Elephas maximus indicus: one gene and its partner. The protein of the gene in region 1 purifies or fractionates together with the protein of each later gene. This does not show direct contact. Links are inferred from orthologs where the notes say so. Each region holds a gene or a part of one and is shown in the gene's direction. Other genes may lie near its edges.

Evidence for each region. The genes of interacting proteins can lie anywhere in the genome.
Region 2: the proteins of STYK1 (region 1) and TMEM259 purify together in Homo sapiens (affinity purification with mass spectrometry; 3 studies listed by BioGRID and IntAct, with this or other methods). This does not show direct contact. The link is inferred for Elephas maximus indicus from reciprocal best matches to the Homo sapiens genes STYK1 and TMEM259.

The regions. Positions count from the first base shown.
Region 1 is NC_064822.1:69,424,422-69,431,995, reverse strand, and holds the start of STYK1 (tyrosine-protein kinase STYK1), read left to right. Parts: upstream 1-4,564; 5' UTR 4,565-4,633; intron 4,634-7,574. UniProt on the Homo sapiens protein: Probable tyrosine protein-kinase, which has strong transforming capabilities on a variety of cell lines. When overexpressed, it can also induce tumor cell invasion as well as metastasis in distant organs.
Region 2 is NC_064821.1:739,076-746,238, reverse strand, and holds the start of TMEM259 (membralin), read left to right. Parts: upstream 1-4,148; 5' UTR 4,149-4,308; coding exon 4,309-4,533; intron 4,534-7,152; coding exon 7,153-7,163. UniProt on the Homo sapiens protein: May have a role in the ERAD pathway required for clearance of misfolded proteins in the endoplasmic reticulum (ER). Promotes survival of motor neurons, probably by protecting against ER stress.

The DNA.
Region 1 (7,574 bases):
AGACCTGGAGCTAATCTAGTCCAATTTATTCATTTTACAAGTGAGAAGATGAAGCTCAGCTAGGTCAACATGCCAAACTTGACCCAGGCTATGGACCCTGACTGCAGGTCAGTGACCTTTAAACTACACTAAATGATTCTATGAGAATCTTGGGAAAAGGAAGAAAAGGGGAAGAAAGGAGTGGGGCCAAGTGGCTGGCAAAATGTCCCAAATCAGCACATTATTCTCCATGGGGAGCATGGGTGTTCTTTGCCAGAATAAGTAATTGGCAAGTTGGGTATTTCTTTTATGGTCAACAACATTTATTGATCTTTTACTATTTGTAGGAAACAGAATATAAAGAGGTATGAGATACTATTACCAGTTGCCTTTGACTATGACACATCATGACTGCAGGTGTGTCAGAGTGGAACTGTGCTCCATAGGGTTTTCAAATGGTGATTTTTCAGAAGTAGATTACAAGGACTTTCTTCCAAGGCATGTCTGGGTGGACTTGAGCCTCCAACTTTTTGGTTAGCAGCCAAGCTCTTTAACTGTTTGCACCCCCAGGGACTCTGGACCTTATACTAAAATCTCTCAAAAACAATATGTGGTAGGCAGAATAATGGATCTCCAAAGGTGTCCAGTCCCTAATCCTTGGAATCTGTGAATATGTTACTTTACATGGCAGCAGGGACTTTGCAGATGTGACTAAGGTTACAGAATTTGAGCTAGAGAGATTATCCTGGATTATAACTGGGCTTAATCTAATCACACAAATCCTTAAAAGCAGAGAAACTTTCCCAGCTGTGGCCAGCGGGAGAAAGACTTTGGTTGGTTGAATCCGCAGATGCAGAACCCGCGGATATGAAGAGCCGACTGTAGTGGAGGTATTTCTCTAAAAACTGTACTAGACATCCAGTTGCATTGCTTTGGAACTGTTGTAAGAAGGATTCGACCCACTGTTGCTGGCATTAAAGATGGAGAAAACAGAATTGTGAATAAAAAAATGTGGATGGCCTCCAGAAGCTGGAAAAGGCAAGGAAATGGATTCTCCTCTATGGCCTCCAGAAAGAAACACAGCCCTGCCAACACCTTGATTTTAGCCCAGTCACACCCATGTTGGATTTCTGGCCTATAAAATTGTAAGACAATAGACTTGTGTTGTTTAAGCCACCAAGTTTGTGATAATTTGCTACTATGGAAGCAATAGAAAACTAATGCACGATGTAAAAAGAAAAAACATATATTTGGGAAATTCAGTACCCATAATCCAGATTCTCTAGGGCATACCAACCTGGGGATAGAGTCCCACGGACAGTAATAACTCAGGTTCCCTTGGGTTGGTTGCAGAATCTGTGATCTTTCTTAAAAGACTTCTTCCCGAGCTATCCCTGGGAGACCTTATAAATGTTCCATCAACTCAGTGCCCAGCTACTACATAGAGTCTAGGATTTTCTTACTCTGGTTTAGGTTCCCTCTGGTGATGTCTAATCTTCTCTCATTGGTTGAGAAGCCCCATTGAGGTGTCTGGTATTATTGCAGAGACTACTGATAACTCTACACCACAGCTGCCATCAAAGTTGCATTGTTCCTTTGTGCCAGTGCAAGCGGTCCAGGTAAGCCACAGGAGCCTGTGACGCTATCTTCTATTTATGGCCACTGCTGCCCTCCTGTGGTGAAGTTGGGATGTGTTTCATATAAACTTGAAATAATCCATCTGCCTTGCTTGTGTTAAATTCCTTTCCAACAGTTCCAAAGCAATGCAACCGGGTGTCTAGTACAGTTTTTAGAGAAATACCTCCACTACAGTTGGCCCTTCATATCCACGGGTTCTGCATCTGCGGATTCAACCAACCAAAGATCGAAAATATTCGGAAAAAAGATTTTTTGCAAAGAGTAAAACTTGAATTTGCCACTAGCCAAGCGCTAAGCCAAATCCAAGCGAATGCAGTGATGTGTAGGCGTACCCTGCTGTGGCCTCCCGTCATCTCACAGATCCTCAGTCTTTCTCCAGTGCTCGTTGTTGGAGCACTGTTCGTTCCTTCACTACTTGTATTGTGTGCACCCTTTGTTTCTGTGAAAAATGGCTCCTAGAAAGCAAAGGAGTGGTCAAAGCAGTCCCTCAAAGACGAAGTGTGAGGGGCTGAGGAGAAGGAGAAGAAGGAGCTGAAGGCTAGTAAGGGCTGGCTGGCTAGCTCTGGAAAGAGCTACAGCCTCAAGAACCTAAAGATCACGGGAGAATCTGCATGGACTCATGGCCAGGCAGAATCAGCATCCCCAGGAGAGCTCAAGAAACTCAGAGAAGAGAAAGGCTGCCTTCCAGAGCAAGTCTTCAATTGTGATGAAACAACTACCTGCATAGCATTTACTTTTTATTATTATTATTATAAGTGATCTAGGGGTGATTTAAAATATAGGGGAGGATGTGCATAGGTTATATGCAAATACTGTGCCATTTTGTATAAGGTTCTTGAGCATCCACAAATTTTGGTGTCCACGGGGGTCCTGGAACCAATCCCCCTCAGATACCAAGGAATGACTGTGGTTGTACCTACACTCTCCTCTGCCTAGGACTCGGTTATAAGTCACCAGCCCAGAGCTAAAGGACACAAAGAGTCCAACACATACCAAAACCCAAACTATTCTTAGTTATTGGGCAAAGCCTTCAAACTCTGTTCTTTTCCTTACAATGTAATTTCCCAAGGGAGATGCCATGCCTTATGGAAATAGATTGCAGAAGCCCAGCAGACTTCAGACTTCAAGCGGGAATCTGTCATCACAACCGCAGAAGCATACAAGTGAATGCACTAAGTAACACGCAAATGGAGGGCATTGCTATCGAATCTAGAGGCGAGCAGGATCTGGTAGTTAAAATTCCTGTGCAATAAACTGGAGAACGATGTGAGCCCCAGTGTGTATTTTAGTGGGACTTCCTACCGTTTAGTACTTAACATGGGCAGAGCAGATAATGGGCACTCAATAAACGTGTATGGAATTAATAGCAAGGCAGAAATAACCATGTGGCAGGTATGCTGGGACTGAAGCACTGCTGATGTTGAGTCAGAGAGCCAGAAATCTGAGATGGAAGTAGTAATTGAAATTGTAAGGGGATGAACACATGGAGAGAAAAGAGAAATGATAAATATCGGGCCACCTTGTTCATGAATATATGTGTGGGACTAGCCACAGATACATACCTCCTGTTTATATCTGCTATTTTAACCAGAACTCTCTGTATGGCATGTCCTCAGGTGGTTTTATGTCAGGACATTACTATTTCCACTGTTTTCTCTATCTCAGGAAAAAAATATATATATAAAATTGGAATTGCTCAATAACATTGGAGGGCAATTTTTTGTTTCTGCCTCTTTGTTATATTTTCCTTTTCAAAATTCTCGGTCCTAGAGACTGAAATTTCTATTGATATAATGGTTCCTTAACAATAGCCAGATTTTAAAAACAAAATCATGTGCATTACCTTTATTGACAGACTAACAAGTATCTAGTAATATGCTAGGGTGCCATGGGAATTAAAAAGATGAGTAAGTCACAGGCTCTTCCCTTAAAGAGATTGTGGTGCCTACAGAGGTAGAGTGGGAGATTAAATAATATAAAAAAGCTCACCTAAATTCCTTTGGCTTTTATTCATCAGTTCTAACACAAAAATGAAACTTCATTCTGTTTTAAAAGAGCTCTGAAGGAAATGAATATTTCAATGAAGGACACCATAAGGACTGAAGTACCTCAATCTCTAAATACTCCATATTACATTGCAGCGAATTTCCTTCTGTCCTAGTGAATTCCAGTTTCTGTTTGGTATGCTCTCAAGGCTGAACAAACTGGTCACCTATTCAAGTAATATATGACCTATAATTCTTTATCAGAACTTGTATAGATATGAATATCTAATTGGAATTCTTCCAGCTATGCATTTTCTTGAATGTTTCCTATAATTGTAAATTCCACGAGGAATTTACAAGAAGTAAATAACTTCTTTATTTACTACTATGTCCCCACAGGAGACAAGCACAAAATGGGTATTTAAAAAACATACGGTAAATGAATTGACGATTAATTACCTACTCCTGGGGTTTTCATTTCCATTTATTCCTTCTAAGTTCTCCATGTAGCAACGCTTGTACACCCAGCAAACGGATGGGGTGGACAATGTCCCTGTGGCGACTAGTGACCCTGAAGTTCTAAACCATTTTAAGCGCCAATGACGGTAGCTGCCATGGGATGGGACACGAGGTGGCGCTGTTGCCGTTTATAGCAGCTTTCCATTTTCACTTGGACTGGAGTCTCCTTTATACTGGACCACCTAGCAATCACTAGGGCAGGAAATTAGTATCTAGATCAGTTCTAAGTCCAGCTTTTATAGTTTCAGCAGAGGTTGCCCAACGGCTGGTGCTGCGAGTCCCGGAAACCCCGGTGCCCTTAGAGTTCCCTTGGTGGGGAGCCCGCCCAAACTCCATCCTTTAATGGCAGCCACGCCCCATAGTGGGAGGCGGGACTGAAAAGCATTTCCTTGAGGCTGGCACACCTTGCCCTACCCAAACCGCTCGTTTATTTCCGCCCCCCCCCCCGGCCGGTTCCATCCGAAACCAGAGTGACCGGAGGAGGGACACGGCAGTGAATACGGAGTTTGGGGGTATGAAGGATGGAAGGGGGACAGTAGTGATGGAGCTAGGGTTGGACATGGAAGCTGGAGAAGAAAAACGGGGAAGGCTGGGAGTGGGGCGGCTGTAATCAGCTCTTTGTATTTTGCGTGAACAAAGAGTAGTCACCAGGTGAATTAACCTGTATTTCTTTGGAACAAACATCTTGAGGTTTTTGGCATCTGTGCAGTTTGGCAAGGGAGCAGCAGTAAGCAAACCCATGATGAGGTGCTTCCATTATTCCCTGAGAGACAAGGAGAAATGAGGTAGAACAACGCAGGGAAAAGGAGTTACAAGACTACACAGTCTTTAGTATGTGTGGCTTTGGGCTCACTGGCTCTCGGTTTCGGCTTCCCCATTTGTACAGCAGAAATAATAATGTAATTACCTCATAGGGTTGTTGTGATATTTAAATGAGATAATATGTGTGACCAGGCTTTAAAAACTGTGGTGATATCCTGTTCCTTGATGGGAATTTTTGCTTTCTTCCTAATCTGTCTTCCCTTTTCCAATCTTTCTTTTCTCACTATTAAGCCTTCAACTTCATCCCCATTTTGTCTCTTTTCTTTGCCTTTCATTTCCCAGGTCATCTTCTGTGGTTGTTGCCTCCTCTGTAATGAATTCTATCCGGATCTGACTTTCTCATACATTTCAGACCAAGCTTTCTTCCCACTACCTAGTGTTAGCCATCAGGGTGGAAATAAAGGAAGTGAGCTTCTGCAACATACAGTGCCTGAAAGCAGAGCTTTGTAAAAAGTGCTGCTGGCCTGATTTATCCTCCTCAGGGCACCGGAATTTCCACTGACAGCCACATAAGGGGGTCATCCAGACCTTTTAATGAGTTATCATGAAATATTTGCTCAATGGCAATCTTACGCTTCTTCAGTGCCTCCACTACCAGGTATCTCGTTATGTACCCACTTGAATTTAGTCGAGCATTACATCTATTTCAGTCGTCTTCTGGAGAAGTTTTGTTTTCCCACCACCTCACATCCAGCCCCGCAAGCATGTGCTCCAGACTTCTACCGGGAGCTATGTGATTCTGCAGCTCTGTTTTGTTTTAACCTGAATGTATTAATTTGCCTTTGCTAGTGTGACAAATTATCACAAATTTAGTGGCTTAAAACAACACAAATTTATTATTTTACAATTCCGTAGTTAGAAGTTGGGAATGGGTCCCCTGGGGCTAAAACCAGGTGTTAGCAGGGCTTCTTTCCTTTCTGGAGGCTGTAGGGGAGAATCTGTTCACAGATGAAGAGGAATTTTGCCCCAGGATGGAATATGCCTAAAGGCTCACCCGTATATGATTTAAATGATACAGAAATGAGATTTTGGAGTTGGAGTTGATTTTAAGACTTTTGGGATAATGTGATGGGGTGAATGTGTTTTTCACGTGACAAGTACATGAATTTTTGGGGGCCAAATGGAGCCCTGGTGGTGCAGTAGTTAAGAGCTACAGGTACAAACCAAAAAGGTTGGTAGTTCGAATCTACCAGCTGCTCCTTGGAAATGCTATGGGGCAATTCAGTTCTAGCCTATAGGGTTGCTATGGGTTGGAATTGGCTCAATAGTAACAAGTTTTTTTTATTGTTTGTTTTTTCTTTTTTTGGTAAAAGGTAGAATGTTAGGGATTGGCTTGTGTCCCCCCAAAATATGTGTCAGCTCGGCTAGGCCACGATTTACGGTATTGTGTGGTTGTCCTCCATTTCGTGATCTAATTATGCTCCATCTTGTGATGTGTTGTAAATCCTAACCCATACCTGTAGTTATAATCCCGTTTGTGAATGGGTTGGTTGTTATATTAATGAGGCATGATTAGTTTATGTTTGTTATGTTAATGAGGTAGGATTAGGGTGTATCTTGAGTCAATCTATTTTTTAATATAAAAGATATTGAACAAGCAAGCTAAGTAGTACAAATGGGAGAAGAGAGATGCCAAGCCAGATGAAGATCATCTAGGAGCAGAAGCTCAGAAGAGACAAGGACCTTCCTTCAGAGCTGACAGAGAAAACCTTCTCCTAGAGCTGGCACCCTGAATTTAGACTTCTAGCTTCCTAAACTCTGAGATACTTGGAGTTGATTTAAGACTTTTGGGATAATATGATGAGGTGAATGTGTTTCACACGTGGCAAGGACATGAATTTTTGGAGGCCAAAGGGTGGGGTGTCATGTGTTGAATTGAGTCCCCCCAAATTTGTGTCAACTTGGCTAGGCCATGGTTCCCAGTATTGTGTGGTTGTTTCTCCATTTTATGATCTGATGTTATAAATCCTAGCCTCTATGCCTGTGATTATGGTCCCATTTGGAAGTGAGTTCTCCATTACGTTAATGAGGCATGACTGGGTTATGTTAATGAGGATAAGGGTGGGAGGTACCACCCTTGCTTGAGTCATATCTTTTATCTTACAAGAGATAAAAGGAGAGAGAAGTGAGCAAAGAGAGGAAGGACCGCCTACCACCAAGAAAGAAGAGTCAGAAGAGGAGTACATCCTTTGGATTCAGGGTCCCTGTGCTGAGAACCTCCTAGACTCAGGGGAAGATTGATGCCAAGACACATGGGGATCTCAAAGGAATGCGGGGCTCTCAGATGTTGAAAGGAGACAAGGACCTTCCATCAGGCAGAGAGAGAAAGAAGGCCTTCCCTTGGAGCTGGCGCCCTAAATTTGAACTTTTAGCCTCCTAAATTGTGAGAGAATAAATTTCTGTTTATTAAAGCCATCCACTTGTGGTATTTCTGTTGTAGCAGCACTAGATAACTAAGAAATAATTTGGTCCCTACAAGAGATGAAAGCAGAGAGAAGTAAGCACAGAGAGAGGGACCTGAATACCACCAAGAAAGAAGAGCCAGGCCAGGAGCAGAGTATATCCCTGCACCTCCTATACCTGGGGGAAGATTGATGCCAAAACATACGTAGATTTCCAAGGAATGCAGGG
Region 2 (7,163 bases), on another chromosome or scaffold:
CCATCGTGTGGATGGACCACACTGTGTTTACCCGTCATCTATGAATGGACACTTGGGTTGTTTCCACCCTTTGGCTCCTGTAAACGGTGCTGCTGTGAACCTTGGTGTACAGGGATCTGTTTGCCTCCCTGCTTTCAACTAATGGTGACTTTTTAAGGGTGTTGGGTGCACAGTTTGCATTTGTGGTGAAGTTTAACTTGTTCTTGGAGGCTCTGTGTTCCTGGCAAGTGGAAGTAAGGTTTACAGCTACACCATCTGATATGGCAGCCTCTTGCCCCATTTGGCTATTTAAATCCACTGCCGTTGAATCCATTCCAACTCATAGCGACCCCGTAGGACTGTCTTAATTATCTAGGACTGCTATAACAGAAATACCACAAGTGGATGGCTTTAACAAACAGAAGTTTATTCTCTTACGGTCTAGGAGGCTGGAAGTCTGAATTCAGGGTACCAGCTCCGGGGCAAGACTTTCTCTCTCTGTCACCTCTGGAGGAAGGTCCTTGTCATCCATCTTCTCCTGGTCTAGGAGCTTCTCAGCACAGGAATCTCTGGTCCAGAAGACTCACTCTGCTCCTGGCACTACTTTCTTGGTGGTATGAGATCCCCCGTCTCTCTGCTCACTTCTCTCTTTTATATCTCAGAAGAGATTGGTTTAAAACACAACGTAATCTTGTAGATTGAGTCCTGCCTCATTAACATAACTGCCTCTAATCCTACTTCATTAACATCATAGAGGCAGAATTTACAACACACAGGAAAATCACATCAGATGACAAAATGGCGGCCAGCTACACAATACTGGGAATTATGGCCTAACCAAGTTGACACACATTTTGGGGGACACATTTCAATCCATGACAAGGACAGCGTGGAACTGCTCCATAGGGTTTCCAAAGCTGAAATCTTTATGGAAGCAGGCTGCCACATCTTTCTCCAGAGGGCTTAAACCACCGACCCTCTGGTTAGCAGCCGAGCGCTTGACCACTGCACCACCAGGGCTCCTTATATGGCTATTAAAACTTGAATTAAGTTAGAAAAAAATAAGTTACATTCAAAACTAAGCTCCTCAGTCACACTGGCCACATTTTGCAGGCTCAGGAGCCCCAGGTGGCCACTGATCTTATTGGCACTGGGCAGAGGCTTGACTGGCCTTCCCCGGAGGCCTGGCAGCTGTCCTCTGCCTCACATGCAAGGCCCCCAGCGCCCCACAGTGAGGCTGGGCTTCCTCTCCTCGTCAAGGGGATGCCCACCCAGTCTCTCCACTGGGAAAGACAATTTCTTCTCCCTTTATGATTTTTTTTTTTAATAAGCTGGGCATGATTCATAATTTTTTTTTCCTTTTATTGTGCTTCAAGTGCAAGTTTACAATTCAAATCAGTTTCTCAAACAAAAACTTATACACATTGTAATGTGACCCTAGTTGTTCTCCCTACAACATGACAGCACACCCTCCCTCTCCACTCTATTGATTCATAATAATTTTAAGGGGAAAAACAAAACCAGTTGCTTTCCAGTTGACCTGACTCATGGCGACCCCACATGTGTGAGTAGAGCTGTGCTCCACAAGGTTTTCAATGGCTGGTTTTTCAAAAGTAGATCACCAAGCCTCTCTTCTGAGGTGCCTCTGGGTGGATTTGAACCACCAACCTTTCAGTTAGTAGCTGAGCACTTAGCGAACACCTACTGTATGCCAGGCCCTGTACAAGGCCTGTGTAACAGGAAGAGAACAGCTTTGGCTTTCTTGTCTTTGTAGGGGAGGGCCCCATCCATCCGTCTGTCCATCTGTGTCCAGTGAGGAGGCACAGGTAATTATGAAATCAGCAGCTAGGTCTGGAAGGTTCTCTCCAGCCTCCAGGCCACAGCTGGAAAGTTTCCTCCCTCCCTGACAACTCCCCCACCCCCGCCCATGTCCCCACCTCTCTCAGGGGCCTCTGTGCCCATCACAGCGTGAAGCTCACTGTCAGGAGGCAGACATCACCTTGTCTGTCTCCCTGCCAGTCTCTCGGCCCACAGCCACTACTGTGAGCCCAGAGCCCAGCACAGGCCCTGGGAGTCTGAAAGTTCATTGCCCAGAACCCTTTCCGTTTTTCTTTTCAGGCCTGGGTGCCTAACCCAGAGTCCAGCTCTCCACTAAAACGTCTTTGCTTTCTGCCAGCCTGTCCCTCTCCTCCCCCTGCCCTTCCAGGCTTCCTGCTGTGGCCAAATCTGCCTTGCTTTGGGGCGCTTGAGCACCAGACACACAGTCCCTTGCCATCGAGTGGATTCAAACTCATAGCGACCTCGTAGGACAGAGCAGAACTGCCCCATAGGGTTTCCAAGGTTGTAAATCTTTACAGAAGCCAACTGCCACAGTCTCCCGCAGAGCGGCTGGTGGGTTCCAACTGCTGATGTTTCCGTTAGCAGCGGAGCTCTTAACCACTGCCTACCAGGGCTCCTCAGATACACAGTGCTATTGCTAGGTGCCCTGGAGTAGGTTCCAACTTCCAGCGACCCTGTGCGCAACAGAACGAAATACTGCCCCGGCCTGCGCTGCCCGCATGATCATTGTTAAGTTTGAGCCCATTGTTGCAGCCGCTGTTCGTCAATCCATTTTGTTGAGGTCTTCCTCTTTTTTGCTGACCCTCTACTTTACCAAGCATGATGTCCTTCTCTAGGGACTGATCCCTCCTGACCACATGTCCAAAGTATGTGAGACAAAGCCTCACCGTCCTTGCTTCCAAGGAGCACTCTGGTTGTACTTCTTCCAAGACAGACTTATTCATTCTTCTTGTAGTCCATGGTATATTCAATATTCCTAGCCAACACTGTAATTCAAAGGCGTTGCTTCTTCTGTCTTCCTTACTCATTGTCCAGCTTTCGCATGCATATGGGGCAAGTGAAAATATCATAGCTTGGGTCAGGCAGTCACCATAGTCTTCAACGTGACATCTTTGCTTTTTAACTCTTAAGAGTTTTTTTTTGTAGCAGATTTGCCCAATGCATTACGTTGTTTGATTTCCCGACTGCTGCTTCCATGGGTGTTATTTGTGAATTCAAATAAAATGAAATCCTTGAAAACGTCAATCTTTTCTCCATTTATCGTGATGGTGCTTATTGTTCCGTTGTGAGGATTTTTGTTTTCTTTATGAACACACAGTAAGCGATCCTCATTTACTTGGTGCAGTAATATACTCGGGTGCTAGGAGGCACCCAGCACCGGGCCCGGGGCCCCGTGGGCCGTCCAAGGCTGCGAGGCGCGGTCAGGAGTGGGGTGCTGGTGGAGGGGCAGGTACACGTCCCACTCCGAGGCAGCCAAGAGGAGCGCGTGTCCGCAGCTCGAACTCCTTCCTGGGTTTGGAGCACTTTGCAGTCGCCAGGTGCACACAGTTTGCAGCGGGACACACGCTGGTCCCGCCAGACCGGGCCGGGGGTCTGGGGAGCCAGGGTCTGACTGTGCAGGGGCGAGATGGACGCTGACGCAGCCCGACTCACAGAGGGAAAAACTAAGACAGTTGCAAGAGAGACCCCCCAACCCGAAATCTGGGAGCTCTTAAATCCGTGCATGCAGCAGGCATTCGATAAATACCCCCAGACGCGCACGGTTTCTAAGGACACAGGTGGCGGGGCATAGCCGGGCCCTGTCACTTCACGGGCAGGGTCCACTCTGGCTGGCTGCCGCCGTCCTGGAAAAGAAAATATGGAACGCTTCACGAATTTGCGTGTCATCCTTGCGCAGGGGCCATGCTAATCTTCTCTGTATCGTTCCAATTTTAGTATATGTGCTGCCGAAGCGAGCACAAGCAGGTGCCACCCCGAATCCCTATTTATAGGCTAAGACCAGATAACTTTTACAGTTATGCCTAACTATATACACGTTATATCTTAAGTATAATCTTCCACAGCCCTATATTAAACAATATCTCCCCTAGTTAAATTTACTTTGACTGTGTTTGATCACGTTAAAATCCTCAGACGTTAGCCTATTTTACCGCCCAAGCGTAGCCAGCAGCCGCGGAGCCTTATGGGGCACTATATGCAAAAATTCTGCTCGGATGCAGCCCCGCCCCCCGACGCCGCCGAGCGTAGCGGCCGAGCGACGGGGCGGGGCCGCCGCGGACGGTCCTCCGGCATCCCAGTGTGCCCCGCGGACGCCGGGGGCGCTCTTGCCCGGCGCAGCGACTCTCTGGCACCAGCAGGGCCGCGGCTGGACGAGGAGGCGGAAGATGGCGGCCGCGGCCGGGGGGTTGTAAGGATCGCGGCGACAGGCCGATGGCGGCCGGGGCGCGCCCTCGGGGATCCGCGGAGCGTTAGGGCGCGACGCTGGGCGGCATGTCGGAGCACGCGGCGCCCGGGGCCCCGGGGCCCGGGCCCAACGGCGGTGGCGGTGGCCCGGCCCCCGCGCGCGGGCCTCGCACCCCCAACCTGAACCCCAACCCGCTCATCAACGTGCGCGACCGGCTCTTCCACGCGCTGTTTTTCAAGATGGCAGTGACCTACTCGCGGCTTTTCCCGCCCGCCTTCCGCCGCCTCTTCGAATTCTTCGTGTTGCTCAAGGTGACCGCGGCCCCCGACCCCGACCCCTGACCCCGATCCCTTCGGCCGACCTGTGACCCCGACCCCTGATCCTCGCCGAGACGCCGAACCCCTCCTGCTCTGAGGCCTGGACCCCTGACTCCACGGATTCGGGACCCTCCCCCGAACCTGCGATCGCTGAGCCTAGTCGCTGACCCCAATTCCTGGGCCCCATCCTGGTCTGAGACTCCCACCCTGGAAGGCACGAGCCGCACCCTACAGGACCCCCCTGATCCCAACCCCAGAATTCTCACCCCGGCCCCGGCCTCCTAGGGGCCCCTTCCTGCCCTCCAACGCCTGGGGTCCTCAGCCTGGGAGGACGGCCCTCCCAATCACCATCCAGCCCTGACCTGCCCTAAACCCCAGTCCTGGACTTTGCCAGGAACCTGGTGCCTCAGGACACACCCCCGCCACCTTCGTCTCTTCTCCTGCCTGCACCCTGATGCCCTCTCCCTGGAGCCCGCAGGAGAATGTAGCTTAGTTAGGTCACTGGCCGGACTTAGTCGGAGTTATGTGGGCACCGCGCCTTTCTTGTGGAGTCCTGCTCCTGTGGGTCTGGTTGAACAGGCTCTCCTCCCTCCTTGCTGTCCAAGGCCCTGACCCTTTCCTGTCCCCCCTCCGATGGACAGAGGGCTCCGCTGTGAAGGCAGGTTCTGGGGACCACCATCGGTACTGAGAAGGCCAACTTACTTGGCAGATCCTGCTCAGCGGGAGCCACGGCCTGAGACCCGGAGCTGGCCCAGGTCGCTGAGCCACCCAGGCTGGAGCTCCAGGGGCGCTGCTTGAGCAGGGGATCTCGGTTGTCACTAGACATTTCTGAGGAAGCAACGAAATGGCCGTTTTCGTTTCCGTTGATGGCTGGTGGGTGAGGGGCTGACCCGAGGAGTCCACAGTGGACTCCAGTTGGGAGCTGCGGCTCTGGGGTTTGGTGAAAGAGGCTCATGGAGCCTTGTGGGTCGACAGACTTGGATGGGGTCCCAGCCGGGAGGAGGCACCCCAAGTTCTCCTATGTGAGATGGGACTCCTGTGACTGAGTATTGGTCAGTGGCATTTTGCCGTCAGGCCGACTGGCAGAGGCTCTTCTCAGGGTGTGTGGCTTCCTCAGGGAGGAGAACCCTGGCCCTGGGTTGACACTGAGGGTGGCTGGGGATCCAGACAGGACCCTCTGCCTCAGTGGCCGGAGCACTGAGCGTCCCCCGAGGTCATCCTCCCTGAAGACACATATGTGGCCCTGGCTGCATCACTTCCTGATTTGAGGTGTGTCAGAGGTCAGGGCTAATCTGTCTCACCTGTGTGCAAGGGGCTGAATGGAGCCAGGGCTGAAAGACCCCTGCCAGTGCCCAGACGTGCTCTGGCAGGGAGGCTTCGCGACCGTAGGCAGTCTCCTGACCCACCACCTCCTTTCGCCTGAGTGCTGGAATGCGTGGTTCTGTTCCTTGTGAACCCTTCCCCCGGCACCCGTGACCTGAAGGCTGTGCTGGGCTCCAGAAAGCTTCAGCCTCGTCTTCTTGCCCTCCCAGGGTCAGGCATGCTCGTTGCAGTGGCTGTGGCCTCCCTTTGCAGTCATGTCTTGCCGGGGGGTGGGCAGGCCTTGGGCAGTTTTTAGGAAACAGCCATACAGTGCCCACTGCTGGAGTGTGGGAGAGGTGGAGCCGGAGGGTCTGAGAAGACCCCTCTGCCCTCAGCCCCGACCCACCACTGGCCTCCACAGCTGTGGGGCCAGAGTGAGGTCGCTGGGTAAGCAGAGCAGTGGGCACTGGGAGGCAGGCTGGGAAAGACCTGCCAGGTGGCAAAGCATCCACGGTGCCCTGCGGCTCGGGCTGGCAGCATCAGGGACGGCTTCTTGGAGGAGGAGCGGGGAGAGTGTCAGCTGCTTGGGTTGGGCTCTGGACACACCATGAGCAGCAGACCAGCAGAAATCACCAGTGTCCTCTGGGGACAGCATCACCTGGTGAGAGCTGCTGCTGTCCCATTTTACAGGCGAGAAAACCATGCCTCATGGGGCAGGGCTGCTAGCCATAGGTGCAACCAGTCTGGGAGGTTCCCTGTGCTCTTGGTGGTCCCAGCTGACTGCCAGGCCTGGGCAGTGGGGACAGAGGGTGCCTGGCTCCACAGGGAGGTTTCTTTTTAGCCGGTGCCATCAGGGGAGCTCTGAGGCCAGTTGGAGTGGCTCAGGGAGTTGCAATAGGACCAGTGGGCTTCCTGGAGGTGGCAGCTCCTAGCCTAAGCCACTGCAGGACCGCAGACATTAAGTGGCGTTGGTATGCCCGGCTAGTGGGTTTCATCTGCTGGGGTCAGGCCCAGCCTGGTCTCTCCCTGGGTGGGGGGTCCTGCACAGTCCCCAAGAGGGTGCCATGGGACTTGTCTGGCTGCAGGCATTGGTGGGGTGGGGCTGTGTTGGGGCACCCCTCACCTCTGGCTCCACCCGGTCGGTACTCAGCTAATGTGTGAGGGGATGGCCAGGTGCTATTTGTGCTGCAGCCAGGAGCCACCCCACTTCTGAGGGTCTTCCCGGTCCGGGCCCTGCTGACGGGGTTCCTCCTGGGTTCCAGGCGGGATGGCGGGTCTCGGTGGCCCCCGCTGACCCTGTGCCCTTCCCAGGCCCTGCTGGT